2 linked regions of the Anolis sagrei genome follow. The protein of the gene in region 1 interacts with the protein of each later gene in a biochemical or structural test. Links are inferred from orthologs where the notes say so. Each region holds a gene or a part of one and is shown in the gene's direction. Other genes may lie near its edges. The genes, in order: REPS2 and EPN1.

Region 1 (9,829 bases):
ATGCCTTCTGATTGCCACAGCGTGAGCAATCATCTTGCCCGCGGTGTCTCCCGTGTGTTTGGCCATTTGCATCTGGTGATGCGCCAGAGAGTTCGCCTCCTGAGCCAAAGTGGAGAGGGCAGAACGGTCCTCCTCAGACATTCTTTGGAAGAGTGGTGTTGCCTTCTCCCAAAGAATCTGTTGGTATGCGCCCATGCAAGCGCCATAATTTGCCATGCGGGCCAGCAGGAGGGCACCGGAGTACAGTTTTCTGCCCACCGCATCGAACCTTTTGCCCTCACGGTCGGACGGCGCCGACGACTGCCTTCCGAATCCCTGGGCTGCTTTCATGACCACCGAGTTAGGGTCGGGATGGTGTTTCAGCCACTCCAATCCCTCATCGTCCGTCCTGTACCAGGATTCGATTTTCTTGGAGGTTGGAGGGATGGAAGAAGGGGTCTTCCAGGAGCCCTGGATCACCTCGAGGAGATATGGAAGGAAGGGCAGCAGAGGAGCGGGTGGGGTTTCAGCTTGCACCCTTTTAAACACTGGGTCTTGCACTGCCTTGGAAGTCTGCTTGACCTCAAGGCCTAAGGCATCAGCCATACGAGCCATTTGATCTGCAAAGGCTCGGACATTGTCAGTGGGAGAAGGAGGGTCAGCCTCATAGGCGTCGTGAGTGGGTGATCTCTCGATCCCGAGAGACAACACAGACCCCGAGTGTACCGATCCCGGCAACTCGCCATCTTCTTCCTCATCATCAGCCACCAGGGATTGAGGGGGAGGGGATGAAGAGACATCCCGACTCGAATGCTGGACCAGGATCGCTGGAGGGGCTTTTGAGGCCGAAGCCTGAGTGGCACGGGCCAAGGCCAGTCTCATAGTCTGTCTGCCCCTTTCCGGAGTCTCCAGCACTGGAGAAGTCTCCTGTCTTGCCGTCACAGTTGTCAAAGTCGTGACCGATGGGAAAAGCTCCTGTCTGGCTGTCACATGTCGAGTTGGTGCCTCGATCACCGTGTCCACCGAGATCACCGGGGAGTCAGGCTGTTCTGACGGCAGTTCTGGTAGCGGCTGCGGCTCCTGGGTAGGCTGAGGGGTCGGTTGGGAAGCAACCGGTCGCACGGGCGACGATCTCGCCGACGAGGTGGCCGAGGAGGCGGTGGTCTGTTTTCGGGAAGAAGAAGAAGACGAGGATGGAGGCGGCATCGTCTTCTTCTTCTTGGCCGGTGGTTGAGCCGTCTTCGACACCGACTTGCCCGGAGTGGGTGGGACGGAGGAGGAAGAGGAAGCACGCCGAGACTCCTCTTGAGACCGGCGAAAGGCAATGCGAACCGCCGTGGAAGATGGCGGAGTCGCTGATGTCGACCTCGTGGACCTGATCGATCTCACTGATGCCACAGAGCTGGCCGAAGAGTGCCGGATGCGTACAGTCTCGGTTGTGACTGTGCATGGAGCCTTCTGCTTTGTAGGCTTTGCCGCCTTAGAAGCTACCGACACCGAGGCCTTGGAGGTTGTCGACATAGCTGCTCTCGGCCTCTTTTGCGCAGCCTTCTTCTCCCTGGTCTGGCGGGGCTCGGCGTCCGCCGAGGGATCGACAGATTTTGATGTCGATGCTACCTTCGACTTCGAGCCCGAAGTCGAAGTTGAAGGCCTGGATACCGCGGCCGACGTCGACGCCGATGTCGATGTTGAAGGTACCGGAGCCAACGTCTGCTGGTAGAGCAGGTATCGAAGCCGATGGACCCGATTTTTTCGGGACTGTGCCGTCAAAGATTGACAATGACGACACGAAGAAGTGATATGTGCCTCGCCGAGACACAAAAGACAAAGAGTGTGCTTGTCCGAATCAGGAATCTTCCTCGGGCAATTCACACATCTTTTAAAGCGAGTTGTTGACATAATATAGTCAAACAACTCGAAGAAATCTGAGAATCTCTATCCAACGAAGTTCCGAAGCGAGCCGTGCGGCGGAAAAACAGGAATTGGATCGGTGTGCGCGGGGCGCCCTTTTATCCCCTGCCGGGGCTGGGCGGGGTTACCGCCAAAACTTGAAAGTTTTAAAATGTAGAAGTTTCCGTTGGAGCCCGCGCAGGCGCAGTCTCTCCACAAGTGTGAATTCGCAGAGACCACGAAGAAAAAAAAAATTACACCCATTTCTTGTGTCTAAATCCATTTCTTTGGATTTCCAAATTGAGATGTAGATTTGTGTGTGAATTGAATAACCTTCCAAACAGGTTGATCTAAAGCAAAGACAGTATGACCTTCATATCTGTTGGATCACTGTGCAAGAAAATGTAAATTCTAGACATTTTCTAGGTCCTACGACTCTATAGTATTCTTGAGTCCTTTATTTTAATAGGGTTTGCTATTATCTGCTGTTTTGCATATCCATACACACTGGGAACATATCCCCCATGGATACTGTACTATAATGGGTTTGGTGCATGCCTCATGCCAGATTTCTGAAATCTCTCTCTCTGTGTGTATGTACAACACCATATTTTCAGAACCTATCATTCCATTATTAACTTAGAATCACAGACCCTCTTTGAGCTCCTATACAAGCTACACCCTCTTCTCAGTATAACCTTCATTCGTCCCATTAAAAACAATGGCGTTTGTTAATATCCACAGTTTCATGTATTGAAATGAAGTCTAGGAACATATCCCCTGCATAGATGGTGGGTCATAATGTATGTGCCTTCTAGTTGTTAGGGACAACTCCCAAAAATACAGCAGAGCATTCAAAACTACAAACATGATACTTATAGTTTGAGCATTCAGCTCACAGCAGACAGAGTGTGAAGTGTTGTAGTCAGAAAAGAATTTAGTGTTTAGGATTCAAAGTTGCAGAGTTCAATTTTTAAAGTTACACAAGTTTTATTTACAAAAATAATAACTACATTTTTAATAGTAAATAACTGGGTCTCAGCCACTCCATCTTTTCTAGGGTTCACAAGAGAGGGGGAAATCTCCAAGTACTACATCTCTCCTGACACACCCAAGCAGAGAAAGGTGTCAATACACAGATGTAAAAAAGCAGAAGTATGAAACAAAGGCATGCACCTGTAAAGTATCCATTCTACATAGCCAATCAGAATGAGAGCAGAAAGAGGGAGAAGATAACCAATAGACACATTCCATCTGTCATTCAGGAGCCAGGGGAAAGGGATTCCCTCAGTCTATACCAGTGGTTCTCAACCTGTGGATCCCCAGATGTTTTGGCCTTCAACTCCCAAAAATCCCCAACAGCTGGTAAACTGACTGGGATTTCTGGGAGTTGTAAGCCAAAATACCTGGGGACCCACGGGTTGAGAACTACTGCTTTAGATAATACTATATCACCTGGGGCTATTAGGAATTGTGGGAATTGGAGTCCAAAACACCTAGAGGGCCCAAGTTTGCCGGAACAAACGTGCTGCATCTAGATTGTAGAATTACTGCACTTTGATGCCAAACTAGCATGGCTCAATACAACTAAATTGTGGGAGCTGTCATTTAACCAACTCTTTAGCCTTTCCTGCCACATAGCGCCCCACCAAAGCTGCAACTCTTGGGTCTCCATGGGGAGCCATAGAAGTTAAAAGTGCTATCAAGCTGTCTTCATTCTAGAGTGCAGATGCACCCGTCTTTTCGCCTTCTCAGGATTCCCCAGCCCAGCGTTTCTCAACCTAGGGGTCCCAAGGGGGTTTCAGAGGGATCACCAAAGACCATCATAAAACATATATTTCTGATGGCCTTAGGAACCCTTTTGGCAGTGAAAGATGAAGATCTCTCCAGTGTCCTTCTCTTCCTTTTTGGAAAACAGATGGCAAATCCTCCCACCAAAAACTCTCCTCCCCTGTGATTGGCTGGCCTCTCAGGCAGCCTCTTAGTCAAGGAGAGGGCTGTTTCTGAGACTCCAAGGGGGGGGGGGAGGGGAGAGCAGGCGTGCCTGGTGCATGGCTGTGTGGCACACATATGCAGGCAATGGAGCATGTGAGTCTGGAGGGAGGCTTGTGCCAGTGTGTCCCTTCAAGGCCTCTCAGCCAAGGGGAGGGCTGTTACTAAGACTCCAAGTGGGGAGGGAACAGCAGACATTCTCAATGGCAGCTTGGTGCACATGTGTGGATGAGGGAGAGCGTGTGAGGCTGGAGGGAGGCTCACACCAGTGAGTCCCTTCAAGACATGGGGATTCTGTGTGGGAAGTTTAACTCAATGCTATCGTTGGTAGGATTCAGAATGCTCTTTGACTGTAGGTGAACTATAAATCCCAGCAACTACAACTCCCAAATGTTAAGATCTATTTACAGCAAACTCGACCATTGTTCACATTTGGGCATATTGAGTATTTGTGCCAAGTTTGGTCCATCATTGCTGGAGTCCACAGTGTTTTCTGGATGTAGGTGAACTACAACTCCAGAACTCAAGCTCAATGCCCAGCAAACCCTTCCAGTATTTTCTGTTGGTCAAGGGAGTTCTGAGTGCCAAGTTTGTTTCAATTCCATTATTGGTGGGGTTCAGAATGCTCTTTGATTGTAGGTGAACTATAAATCCCAGCAATTACAGCTCCCAAATGGCAAGGTCTATTTCCTCCAAACTCCATCAGTGTTCAGATTTGGGCATATTATTGAGTATTTGTGTCAAGTTTGGTCCAGATCCATCATTGTTGGATTATACAGTGTGTAGGTGAACTTTTTTTTTTTGTCGTGTCAGGAGCGACTTGAGAAAGTGCAAGTCGTTTCTGGTGTGAAAGAATTAGCCATTGCCCAGGGGATGCCGGATGTTTTGATGTTTTTACCATCCTTGTGGGAGACTGCTCTCATGTCCCCGCATGAAGAGCTAGAGCTGATAGAGGGAGCTCATCTGCGCTCTCCCCAGATTCGAACCTGCGACCTGTCGGTCTTCAGTCCTGCCAGCACAGGGGTTTAACCCACTGCACCACTGGGGGCTCCTTGTAGGTGAACTACAACTCCAAAACTCAAGCTCAATGCTCACCAAGCCCTTCCAGTATTTTCTGTTGGTCAAGAGAGTTCTGCGTGCCAAGTTTGGTTCAATTCCATTGTTGGTGTTCAGAATGCTCTTTGATTGTAGGTGAACTATAATTCCCAGCAACTACAACTTCCAAAGGACAAAATCAATCCTCCCCCCCCCCCCATCCCACCAGTATTCAAATGTGGACGTATCGGGTATTTGTGCCCAGTTTGGTCCAGCAAATGAAAATCCATCCTGCATATCAGATATTTACATTACAATTCATATCAAAGTAGCAAAATTAGTGTTATGAAATAGCAAGGAAAATAATGTTGTGGTTGGGGATCACCACAACAGGAGGAAGCATATTAGTTTATGAAAATCCATCCTGCAGATCAGCTATTTACATAAGGATTCCTAACAGTAGCAAAATGAGTTATGAAGGAGCAACCAAAATAATGTTATTACGGATGGTTGGGGGGGGGGGGGTCACCACAACATGAGGAAGGGTGGAAGACCCTGCCCTAGCCTTTGAGCCACGCAAGCTTCCCTGCTCCAAAACTTGAGCCTTCCTCTGCGGAGTCCAGGGAGGACGAAGTGGGAGAAGAGGAGGAGGAGGAGGAGGAGGAGGAGGAGGAGGAAGTGGAGGCACGTGCCTCGGGGAAGGGAGCCTCCTTCCCCTCCTCCTTCCTTCCTTCCTTCCTTCCCCCTTTTCCTCCTCTTCCTCTTCTCCTTCTCTCTTCCTGCAGCTGCTGCTGCTGCCTTGCCGCCTCCCTCCCGCTGTTTTTGCCGCAGAAAGGGAGGACAGCGGAGGGAGAGGAGGCGAGCGCGGCTGCAGAGGCGGCGGCGGCGGCGGAGCCTCTTGGGCAGGACTTGGGGGCGCCGTTGCCCCTGCAATGGAGGCCCCCTCCTCCTCCTCCTCCTCCTCCTCCTCCTCCGGGGAGCAGCAGCAGCAGCAGCGCTACGCGGAGCTCTTCTGCCTTTGCGGCGGAGGCGGCAGCGGGAACGCCGCGGGCTCCGAGGCAGGCGCCTCCGGCAGCAAGGTGGCCGAGCTGTTCCGGGCGTCGCAGCTCCCTCCCGAGGCCCTCCTCCAGGTGAGGCAAGAGTGCTCCTGGACATGTGCAGAGCGCACCCCCCCCCCCCCCCCAGGGCATCCACACCAGGCATGGGCGCATGTTAGCCTTCCCTCCAGGTGCTTTGGACTTCCACCATCCCTAACAGCCTCAGGCCCTTCCTTTCCCCCCTCAGACCCTTAAGCGAGGCTCTTAGGGATGGTGGGAGTTGAAGTCCAAAACACCTGGAGGGAGGGCTGAAGTTTGCCCATGCCTGTTCTACACCAGATAAACCCAGTATTGTGAACGAATATGGAACGGCTTAACGATGCAAATGGACATGGATTTCAACCCAGAAGTCATTGATTCTAATAGTTTTAAATTGTTTTAAAATTAATTTTATTACGTGATTTAACCTGTTTTAAATGGTGTATTTATGTGTGTTCGGCATCTAATTGTTGCCAGTCTGTACGCCGCCCTGAGTCGTCTTTGGGCTGAAAAGGGCGGGAGAAAATTGTGACAAATAAATAAATAAATAAACTGTAGAATTGTTTTTCATGCCAGGTGCCACTTTATTTATTTATTTCGTATCGTATTGCATGAATTAGTATGAAACAGATAAAATAGAAAGTGTGCAGGCATCTAAATGTCTTTTGACCAAAAACGGGCAACAGCAACGGCATTGTCTGTAGCCTCCAACAATTCATCCTATGTACATGAGGCAGGGCATAATGGACAAGCACTTGACGAACTGCAATTCGCTTCTGGTGTGAGAGAATTGGCTGTCTGCAAGGACATTACCCAGGGGACGCCCAGATGTTTTACCATCTTTGTGGGAGGCTTCTCTCATGTCCCCAAATGGGGAGCTGGAGTTGGCAGAGGGAGCTCATCCACATTCTCCCCAGATTCGAACCTGCGACCTTTCGGTCTTCAGTCCTGCCTGCACAAGGGTTTTAACCCACTGCACCACCGGGGGCTCTTAGTACCACATGGGGCCCTTCCACACAGCCCTGTATCCCAGAACATCAAGGCAGAAAATCCCACATTATCTGAGTGTGGACTCAGATAACCCAGTTCAAAGCATATTATGGTATTTTCTGTCTTGATATTCTGGGATATAGGGCTGTGTGGAAGGGTGCTTGGACCTCTATGGCTCAATGCTCTGGAATCCTTGGAGTTCCCTCACTCAACTGCAACTTCCACGATTCCTGCAGGTTTGAGCCATAGCAGTGAAAGGAGTGTCAAACTGCATTAGTGTATAGAGAGGCACCTTCTAAGGGCCATTCCACACCGCCCTATATCCCAGAATATCAAGGCAGAAAAATCCCACATTATTTGAGTGTGGATTCAGATAACCCAGCTCAAACCAGATATTGTGGGATTTTCTGCCTTGATATTGTAGGATATAGGGCTGCGTGGAAGGGCCCTAAATGAGTTCTCTTTGGACAGAAAAAGTAGCTCCAATTGAGATTTGGATGAAAATAAATAAGCTGGATGAATTCCCTCTATGTTCTGAAAGCCTTTTTCCTTCCCTTGAGTGTTTTCTCTTTTGAAAAGGGGATTCATTACCTTTTGAACATCAATAAAGGTAGAGCAGGCCTGGGCAAACTTGGGCCCTCCGGGTGTTTGGACTTCAACTCCCACCATTCCTAACAGCCTCAGGCCCCTTCCTTTCCCCCCTCGGCCACTTAAGCAGCTGAGGGGGGAAAGGAAAGGGCCTGAGGTTGTTAGGAATGGTGGGAGTTGAAGTTCAAAACACCCAGAGGGCCCAAGTTTGCCCAGGCCTGAGGCAGAGTCTCCCATCTCTGAAATAATTTGGACCTGAAGCATCTTGGATGTTAGAATATATGTATTCAAGTTGTGTTTCCCTGTTCTGAAATGCTTGTAATCAGAAGTGTTTTGGATTTTGGAATATATACATCTACAAGTTGAGTCTCCCTTCTCCAAAATGTTTGGGACTAGAAGGTGTTTTGGATTCACATTTTTGGAATATGTTCTGGTTGAGTCTCTCTTTTCCCTACGTGTTTTGGATTTCCGATTTTGGAGTATATAGCCATACAGATTGAGTGCCCTCCCATACAGCTGAATAAACCCTATATTTTCTGCTTTGAACTGGGATATATGGTTATGTGGACTCAGGGCCCTTCCACACAGCCCTATATCCTAGTATATCAAGGCAGGAAATCCCACAATATCTGCTTTGAACTGGGTTATCTGAATCCACACTTAGATAATGTGGGATTTTCTGCTTTGATATTCTGGGTTATATTGTTGTTGGGTTATATTGGTCCCTGAGTCCTCCTTCTCCTAAATACATGAGACTAGGAGTGTTTGGGTTTCGGATTTTGAAATAAATATATCTATTCAGGTTGAATCTCCCTTCTCTAAAGTGCTTCGGACCTGAAGTATTTTGATTTCAGGTTTTACTGGATTTTGGAATCCCTGTATTTGCATATACGATTACACGCATAATGAAATAGCTAGGCAGTGGAACCCAAGTCTAAATACGAAACTAATTTATGCTTCAAATATAGCCTAGACATGTTGCCTGAATGTAATTTTATACTGTACTTTAAATAATTTTGTGCATGAAATCAGGTTTGTGTACATAGTTTTAATCGTGTCAGAAGCAAATTGAGAATATACTGCAAAGTCACTTCTGGTGTGAGAGAATTGGCTGTCTGCAAGGACATTGCCCAGGGGATGCCCGGATGATTGATGTTTTACCATTCTGTGGGAGGCTTCTCTCATGTCCCCACATGGGAAGCTGGAGTTGACAGATGGGAGCTCACCCCACTCCCCGGATTCAATGTTGTGGGCACAAGGGTTTAACCTATTGCGCCACTGGGGTTCCTTGATCCATCAGAATACTAAAGTGCCACTATCTCAGCCACCCATGTGTACAATTTTGGATTTTGGGGGAATTTGGATTTCAGAAATCTGGGTGAGGGGTGTCCAACCTATAACACTAACATTTCCTACTACAGTGGCAGCAAAGAAAGGTGGTTGGGGGTTTTTTCTGTTAGAAATTGTCCATGCTCTTCTCTTGGAATGCATAACTTAGGAAGTTTCATGCATTCTATTTAATGGTTATGGAGAATTCCTAGACCCTTGTTTGAAACACTGATCTCTAAACTAAAAGTTAGAATCATATCTCTTTCAGTTATAGAAACAAGTTTTGAGGTTGTAAATTTGCAAACCTATATGCTTTACGACAGCTTTACATCCTGCATAACTTCTTGGACAAGAAACTCAGGTGAAGAGACAAAATCCTGATGTGAAAAATTAGTAGCTGGAAACAAAATTTTAAGCCCCCAAATAATATGCAACAACAATAAGAGCAGAACAACAAAGCATACCTGTATTTTACATTGTGGACTGCAATGAGATTATTTCTCTTAAAAGACCAAAATAAGAACCTTTCTCCCACTCAGGCCATTCCACAGATATATAAACTCAATTTTCCTAGTTTCCAACAGATGTCCCAACCTCTGAGGATGCCTGCCACAGATGCAGACGAAATGTTAGGAGAGAATGCTTCTGGAACATGGCCATACAGCCCAGAAAACTCACAACAACCCAGTGATTCTGGCAATGAAAGCCTTCGACAATACATTAAATCTAGAAACCAGATTGATGGATTGCTTAATCTATCTTGTTCTCTATCCATCTATACATAAAACTTGGGACTTCTGGTTTCCTTTGCCCCCATCATATGGATCTAGGTTCTTGGTTTAACCTTTTAAGAGGAATAATTTCATTGCAATATACAGTACTGTTCAAATATAGCCCCCATTATAATTTGGCCACTTCTTTTCTCCCAGTTTTTAAAAGAGCTGCTAATA
Region 2 (9,086 bases), on another chromosome or scaffold:
CTAGGTTGGGTCAGCAAGTTCAGCAGCTCAGTGGTTTAACCCACTGCACCACCAGGGGGCACAGGACTATGTTTATTCAGAATACACAAATAAAACATAATTCAATTGAATTATATTGTATCACCCATTGTAGCTTCAAAGGCATGCTCAAAACTGGGGGCAAATCATACCACAACATAGAACCCTAGAAAATTGTGCAAAAAAGAATTGTAGCATTCACGTGGCAGTACTGGCCCTTATCCATGACTAGAGCAGCAACAGCAGAAACCTATGCATATTACAACCATCAATTGCTTTGCCTTGTTTATTTAGGCCAGAATTCTGTTGGCGCACTGCACTAACATAATAGTTTGTTTTGCTATTACTTGCACCTTCTACCCGTTCTAATAATGATTAGGAGAAAGTGACTAATGTTCCTGAGCTGCCTTTCAGGGAGATCTCCAGAGTGATCTCTGAAACAGTGCCAGTTTGTGAGCCACCAGCGGCTATTCCTTTCCAGAAAATAAAGGAATAACTTTAACTAATAGCCACAATTGTGGTACCAGTCTGGCACTATGGATGACAAAACAACTGCCCATCATCCACACTGGCATAGAAAGGTGGTGTAGCACTGGTGTAGAAAGTTGGCTGTCCCAAAATAAAACATTGTTCCTAAGGCCACTGCTGTCAACTTTGATGTCTTCCCATTTACTGCCACTCCTTTCTCAAATCCTGGCTGGTGTCTTTGCCTTTGCTAACAGCAATTTGGATTTGGTTTGCATAATTCATCTTTCCTTGCAGAATTTTTGGTTCCTTTACTACTGAATCCCAACTTCTTTACCAAAGTACATGAAGTCCTACCAGTATAATTTGCTTGGGGATTAAAAAAAAAAACGCTGCCTTGTCTAAGGGTGATGATCTTTGAAGAATTTATCTTGTAGCTTGATTCTGGGTGCATTTACTTGCATTTTAAGGCCTATTGTGATTAATGAGGTATAATGCTAAGTAAATATATGTAGGATTGCAGCCTAAAACTTGACACTTGGCCCAGAAAGAGCTGGTCTAAAAGCTTTTAATATATCTCCAGAATACATGGAAGCTGTCTGAGTAAAGCTAGAAAGTAGGATATCTTTCAAACAGCTTGAAGGAGAGTGTTCAAAAATGGTTATGTCTAACATTATCATCCTGAAGTAACGCACATTAGCTCCAAAATACGCAAGCCTGTTTTAAGTTGTTAATGGAATTTATGTCGCTGCTATTTTTGCTTTTTAGTGCCTTACCTCAACTTAGACTTTCTTTTAGGCATACACATAATGGATGCAGGGCTATGGGAAAGTCCCTTGTCTTCTAAGTATATTTTTTATGTACATGACAAAGATACTAAAATTTTCAGTGGGCAAATTCAGCTCAATGGATTTTACAGTTACCAAAGTAAGTCTTTCTGCTACAAGGAAAGCCATGTGAGGCTATTGCTTTAATTGTGCTTGAAATGAAGTATTTCCACAGATTATATGTTTATGGCGGGGGGATCAAAAACAAGAATTCAGAATGGAGAGCTGGCTGGAAACCAGTAAATTATATTACTTATGGGGATTTTTCTCCATATAAGACTATTGCCTTTGAAGTAACATTACAGTCAAGTTACAGTATTAAAGTTCCTAAAGCCATGAAATAAACACTGAGCTAGCTATCAGCTTGTCTGGACAGAAAATCCTTTACTTTCATTAACAGAAAATACTTTGGGTTGTGTGATGTATTTATTACATATTCCTCAAAATTAAGTTCAGAACACATGGTTCCCTTTTTGCTCCTTTCCCAATTTTGACCTCACTGCAATGCAGTAAGATAGATTGAGGTAAAATAACAAGTCTCTTACAGCACTAATTCATTTTGAGATTCCCAAAACATTCAGGTGGCTACAGAATCTGTACATCACTGATGCACACCTCTGGAAAAGGTATAACATGTTGCTCAGATGATCCATTGGAACTTGTGTCACAAATACTGTACCATCTACCTGTGACAATGAACTGGTGGGATCGCAAGCCTGAAAAGGTTACAGAAAATGAACATGTCAAATTACTCGGAGACTTCCAAATTCAGACTGAGTTTTGGAGCACAATACCCCTGACCTCATGATTGTGTAATATATATGAAAACACAGTAAATTAGTTTTAAAATAAATTAATGAAAAGCACGAAACAATCGAGAGCCTGTCCATAGTCCATTTTCCATAACATTATTACCATTGTCAATTATCTGCCAGTTGCCCAAAGGCCTGCTCCCATAATCAGGTTTTCAATTTCCTCCTAAAGGTGAGGAGGGATGTTGTTGACCTGATCAAATAGCCAACAATGTGATGTGGCGGCAAAAAAGGCCAAAGGGATTTTGGCCTGCATCAATAGGAGTGTAGTGTCTAGATCTAGGGAAGTCATGCTACCCCTCTATTCTGCCTTGGTTAGTCCACACCTGGAATATTGCGTCCAATTCTGGGCACCACAATTCAAGAGATATTGACAAGCTGGAATGCGTCCAGAGGAGGGTGACTAAAATGATCAAGCGTCTGGAAAACAAGCCCTGTGAGGAGCGTCTTAAGGAGCTGGGCATGTTTAGCCTGAAGAAGAGAAGGCTGAGAGGAGATGTCATAGCCATGTATAAATATGTGAAAGGAAGTCACAGGGAGGAGGGAGTAAGCTTGTTTTCTGCTGTCTTGGAGACTAGTATGCGGAACAATGGCTTCAAACTACAAGAAAGGAGATTCCATCTGAACATAAGGAAAAACTTCCTGACTCTGAGAGCCGTTCAACAGTGGAACTTTCTGCCCCGGAGGGTGGTGGAGGCTCCTTCTTTGGAAGGTTTTAAACAGAGGCTGGATGGCCATCTGTCAGGGGTGCTTTGAATGCAATATTCCTGCTTCTTGGCAGGGGGTTGGACTGAATGGCCCATGAGGTCTCTTCTAACTCTATGATTCTATGAAATACAAAAGCCAGCATAGTGATCTTGTTTGCTGTATACTAATCTTGTTATGCATCAAATAATCATAATAATAATAACAAAAACAACAATAATAAATGCTTGGGAAGTGTTCGACTTGTGATTTTGTGATACGAAATCCAGCATATATATCTCGTTTGCTGTTTCATAGTGTTTTTGTGTCAGTAAAACAATAATCATAATGTATTGTCGAAGGCTTTCATGGCCGGAATCACTGGGTTGTTGTAGGTTTTTTCGGGCTATATGACCATGTTCTAGAGGCATTTTCTCCTGACATTTTGCCTGCATCTATGGCAAGCATCCAGTCTGTTGGAACTAGGAAAATTGGGTTTATATATCTGTGGAAAGGATCTAAACATCAAAAAAACCAAGATTATGGCAACAATAATGATTGACAACTGGAAAATAGAGGGAGAAAACGTGGAGGCCGTGACAGACTGTATTTCTAGGTGCAAAGATTACTGCAGATGCAGACTGTGGCCAGGAAATCAGAAGACGCTTACTTCTTGGGAGGAGAGCAATGTCCATTCTCGATAAAATAGTAAAGAGTAGAGACATCACACTGGCAACAAAGATCTGCCTAGTCAAAGCCATAGTATTCCCTGTAGTCACCTACGGATGTGAGAGCTGGACCTTAGGGAAGGCTGAGCGAAGGAAGATCGATGCTTTTGAGCTGTGGTGTTGGAGGAAAGTTCTGAGAGTGCCTTGGACTGCGAGAAGATCCAACCAGTCCATGCTCCAGGAAATAGGGCCTGACTGCTCATTGGAAGGAAGGAGACTAGAGACAAAGTTGAAGCCACATCATGAGGAGACAGCAAAGCCTAGAGAAGACAATTATGCTGGGGAAAGTGGAAGGTAAAAGGAAGAGGGGCTGACCAAGGGCAAGATAGATGGATGGCATCCTTGAAGTGACTGGACTGACCTTGAAGGAGCTGGGTGTGGTGACGGCCGACAGGGAGCTCTGGCGTGGGCTGGTCCGTGAGGTCACGAAGAGTCGGAGACGACTGAATGAACAACAACAAATATCTGTGGAATGACCAGGATGGGACAAAGGACTATTGTCTGCTGGAGCTAGGTGTGAATGTTTCAACTGACCACCTTGATTAGCAATTTGATGGCCTGGCAGTTTTTTGGTTCACCTCACTACCTTTGAGGATGCTTGCCATAGATGCAGGCGAAACGTCAGGAGAAAATGCCTCTAGAACATGGCCATATAGTCTGCAAAAACCTACAACAACCCAATAATCATAATAGTAGTAGTAGTAGTACAAATCATCGTCCTGCAGCAGTGGTGCAATGAAAGCTCTTAGGAATTGTGGGAGTTGAAGTCCAAAACACCTGGAGGGCCCAAGCTTGCCCATGAACATGAGGAAGAACTTCCTGACTGTGAGAGCCGTTCAGCAGTGGAACTCTCTGCCCCGGAGTGTGGTGGAGGCTCCTTCTTTGGAAGCTTTGAAACAGAGGCTGGATGGCCATCTGTCAGGGATGATTTGAATGCAATATTCCTGCTTCTTGGCAGAATGGGGTTGGACTGGATGGCCCATGAGGTCTCTTCCAACTTGAAAAGAGATTCCATCTGAACATGAGGAAGAACTTCCTGACTGTGGGAGCCGTTCAGCAGTGGAACTCTCTGCCTCGGAGTGTGGTGGAGGCTCCTTCTTTAGAAGCTTTTCAACAGAGGCTGGATGGCCATCTGTCAGGGGTGATTTGAATGCAATATTCCTGCTTCTTGGCAGGGGGTTGGACTGGATGGCCCATGAGGTCTCTTCCAACTCTTTGATTCTATGCCTGATCTAGATGATCCGCCTCCTTTCTGTTCCTCTCATTTTCCTCCTCACTTCTTTGATTCCATCACCATTCCCCTTTAACAGTGGCTCCTTCCACCCTTCAGCGTTTGAGGACTTCAACTCCCAGAAGCCCCAGCCCTTTTGGCAAGTACCAGGAACTCTGGGAGCTGGAGTCCGAAACGCAATAGGAGGGCAGCCACCGCTCTCAAGACGACCTCTCTCTTTTTCTCTCTATGGCCGAACAGAGCGGTCGCCCCGAGAAGGGTGCGGGCGGAAATGGGCGCAACCTGGAGGCGGAAGTTGCGGGCGCCTCTGGCTTCCGGTTCCGTCCTGCGGGGAAAGCTCTGCCGGCGCGACCGCCGCATCCAGCCGCCTCCGCTACCCTCCGGGAAGGCCATAGAGTGAGGGCGGGCAGAGCGGCGCTTCCTGTACCGAGAGCCCCCCCCCCTTCTCTTCCTGCCCCCGCATTGCCAAGGCGACGGAGAAGGCCGGGGCGGAGTTCTCCTCAAGGCCGAGGCTCCCCTGAAGGGACGGAGCGGGACTCGCCTCTCCTCTCGCCTGCTGCTTGCCTTCTCCGCCTGGAATCCTCTTCTTTCCCTGACCTTTGCCCTTAAGGCCTCACCCTGGAGCGACCTCTGACTTCCCAGTCTCTCTTTTGATTCTATGATTCCTGCCACCTTTGAACTCAGCCTCTCCCCCTTCCATGCCCTTAATTCCTTTCCAAGGCAACCTATCACCCCTCTGTTTTCTCTCCCCTGAATGTCTTATTGGCCCTTAATTTCCTTTCCTCTTCATCCCCCTCAAAGACATATTGGATCCCTCTATCCTTCTGGTTTCTCTCCCAGATTCCACTCCTGAATATCTTTTAGCAGTTCCACATCCTCATCAAGGCCTAGCCGTGCCCTATTCGTTTTGCCAAGATTCCCACGCTTTTCCCCAAGAAGCTCTGGCGATGCCCCCTGGTTGGGGGAAGCAGGGAGGCTGAGGCAGAAGAGAGGAGGCCACCCTGCCAGAAAAGGGGCACCGAGATCCCATTATCCAGGTGAGTGGGGTTTGAAACGAATGGGGAAAGATGTGGGAGGGAATCATACCACAGGCCGGAGCTTTCCAAGCTGTGTGTTGCGACACATTACTCTGCTGTGTGAACATAACAAGAAATGACCACAATCTGGGAAATAGTAATACATTTTATTTACTACTAGCCGTCCCCTGCCCCGCGTTGCTGTGGCCCAGTCTGGTGATCTGGAAAATAAATTAATGAGAAAGTGTTGGTTTCTCATTACTGCCGGTTCAATTCCGAGCACAATTCAGGGTGCTGGTTTTGACCTACAAAACCCTTTACGGTTCCGGTCCAGTCTATCTGTCCGAACGTATCTCCCTCTACGTCCCACCCCGGAATTTGAGATCATCTGGGGAGGCCCTGCTCTCTACCCCACCGCTATCCCAAGTGAGGCTGGTGGGGCTGGTGGGGGCGAGGAGCAGGGCCTTCTCAGTGGTGGCCCCTCACCTGTGGAACTCACTCCCGGGGGAAATTAGGGCATCAACATCCCTCCTCTTCTTCAGGAGGAAGGTAAAGACGTGGTTGTGGGACCAGGCCTTTGGGCAATCTGACAATTAGATATGGACAGCCAGATGGATAGGACTGATAGGACTGACAATTGTGGAATTGGAATTTGAACTATGAGATTGTGAAACGCTGACCGTCAATGAGGTTTGTATTGGTTTTATTGCTTTTATTGGTTTTATGGTTGTTTTTGCCTATAATAACTATTGTTTTCTGTTAATTGTTGTTATTGCCAGGATTGCTGTTTCTGTTAACTGATATTATTGTCTTTTGCTGTTATGTGATGCGGGCATCGAATTGTGCCTTGCTTTTGTAAGCCGCCCTGAGTGTCCCCCCCCCCCCCCCCCGGTGAGAAGGGCGGGGTAGAAGCAACAGAAATAAATAAATAAATTCTAATATATGTAATTTCTTTATGGCTCTTTGTCAGGAGGGCTTTGACTACATTTTCTTGCCCTGGTGAAGAGAGTTGGACTGGATGGCCTTAAGTATTTTCTGTTGGTCATGGGGGTTCTGTGTGGGAAATTTCATAGAATCATAGAATCAAAGAGTTGGAAAAGACCTCATGGGCCATCCAGTCCAACCCCCTGCCAAGAAGCAGGAATATTGCATTCAAATCACCCCTGACAGATGGCCATCCAGCCTCTGTTTAAAAGCTTCCAAAGAAGGAGCCTCCACCACACTCCGGGGCAGAGAGTTCCACTGCTGAACGGCTCTCACAGTCAGGAAGTTCTTCGTCATGTTCAGATGGAATCTCCTTTCTTGTAGTTTGAAGCCATTGTTTCGTGTCCTAGTCTCCAAGGAAGCAGAAAACAAGCTTGCTCCTTCCTCCCTGTGGCTTCCTCTCACATATTTATACATGGCTATCATGTCTCCTCTCAGCCTTCTCTTCTCCAGGCTAAACATGCCCAGCTCCTTAAGCTGCTCCTCATAGGGCTTGTTCTCCAGACCCTTGATCATTTTAGTCGCCCTCCTCTGGACACATTCCAGCTTGTCAATATCTCTCTTGAATTGTGGTGCCCAGAATTGGACACAATATTCCAGGTGTGGTCTAACCAAAGCGGAATAGAGGGGTAGCATGACTTCCCTAGATCTAGACACTATGCTCCTATTGATGCAGGCTAAAATCCCATTGGCTTTTTTTGCCGCGACATCACATTGTTGGCTCATGTTTAACTTGTTGTCCACGAGGACTCCAAGATCTTTTTCACACGTACTGCTCTCAAGCCAGGCATCCCCAATTCTGTATCTTTGCATTTGCCCCAATTCTTTCATTTGTGGGGTTCAGAATGCTCTTAGATTGTAGGTGAACTATAAATCCCAGTAACTACAAATCCCAAATGTCAAGGTCTATTTCCCCCAAACTCCCATCTGTGCTCATATTTGGGCATATGGAATATTTGTGCCAAGTTTGGTCCAGTTCCATCATTGTTTGAGTCCATAGTGCTACAATAGGTGAACTGCATAGGTGAACTACAACTCCCAAACTCAAGGTCAATGCCCACCAAACCCTTCCAGTATTTCCTGTTGGTAATGGGAGTTCTATGTGCTAAGTTTGGTTCAATTCCATCACTGGGGAAGTTCAGAATGCTCTTTGATTGTAGGTGAACTATAAATCCCAGCAACTACAACTCCCAAATGACAAAATCAAACATTTTTGAGTGAAGGACATACATTGGGTTGTTAGGTCTATGCTGTCCAAATTTGGTGTCAATTGGCCCACTGGTTTTTGAGTTCTGTTAATCCCACAAATGAACATTACATTTTTATTTATATAGATCAGGAGCCCCTGGTGGCACAGTGGGTTAAACCCTTGTACTGGCAGGACTGCTGACTTACAGGTCAGTGGTTTGAATCTGGGAAGAGCGGGTTGAGCTCTCTCTGTTAACTCCAGCTCCCTATGCGGCGACATGAGAGAAGCCCCCCACAGGATGGTAAAACATCAAAACATCCAGGAATTCTCTGGGCAATGTCCTTGCAGATTTATTATTATTATTTTATTATTTACAACATTTCTACCCTGCCCTTCTCAACCCCCGAGGGGGGACTCAGAACTGCTAACACTGGCAACAATTCGATGCCACAATATCACAATGAACAACAATATATAAATCATAAATATACAATAAAACTTTAAAAAATAACATTAGTTATACAATCATATAGCCATTTCCATTGTTATAACAATCATCTGGTCCAGTTCAATGTCCAAGTGCCATTATGTCTGTTAGCCCATGGCCTGGTTCCACAACCACGATTTCAGCTCTTTCCTAAAGGAAAGGAAGGAGGACGCCAATCTAATCTCGCTGAGGACCGAGCTCCACAAGTGGCGGGTCACCATCGAGAAGGCCCTGTCCCTCGTCCCCACCAGACGCGTTTGTGAGGCTGGTGGGACCAAGAGCATATGGCCAATTCTCTCACATCAGAAGCGACTTGCAGTTTCTCAAGTCTTTCCTGACGTGAAAAAAAATCTCTCTTAGATTCAAAAGTGTTGAACAGTGGTAAAAATTCAATGTGCCATTTGAAACTTAAGTAGAATTAAAGCTAGAACTCTCTAAACATGAATAATCAAAACCTATCTAAAATACATTTAGAAGATAGAAAGTCAGTACTGTAAAAACCAAATGAATTGGCTGTAGTGTCAGTTTCGTTTGAAAACAGAGGAATGACAAAGGAGAATGGTATTGCATGAGGGTATGTGATGATTAAGGGGACATGAGAGAAGCCTCCCACAAGGATGGTAAAATATCAAACATCCGGCCATC

Evidence for each region.
Region 2: the proteins of REPS2 (region 1) and EPN1 form a complex in vitro, tested with the Homo sapiens proteins (3 studies listed by BioGRID and IntAct, with this or other methods). The link is inferred for Anolis sagrei from reciprocal best matches to the Homo sapiens genes REPS2 and EPN1.

Annotation. Positions count from the first base shown.
Region 1 is NC_090023.1:90,114,941-90,124,769, reverse strand, and holds the start of REPS2 (ralBP1-associated Eps domain-containing protein 2), read left to right. Parts: upstream 1-5,580; 5' UTR 5,581-5,828; coding exon 5,829-6,026; intron 6,027-9,829. UniProt on the Homo sapiens protein: Involved in ligand-dependent receptor mediated endocytosis of the EGF and insulin receptors as part of the Ral signaling pathway. By controlling growth factor receptors endocytosis may regulate cell survival.
Region 2 is NC_090026.1:17,904,404-17,913,489, forward strand, and holds the start of EPN1 (epsin-1), read left to right. Parts: upstream 1-5,062; 5' UTR 5,063-5,802; intron 5,803-9,086. UniProt on the Homo sapiens protein: Binds to membranes enriched in phosphatidylinositol 4,5-bisphosphate (PtdIns(4,5)P2). Modifies membrane curvature and facilitates the formation of clathrin-coated invaginations. Regulates receptor-mediated endocytosis.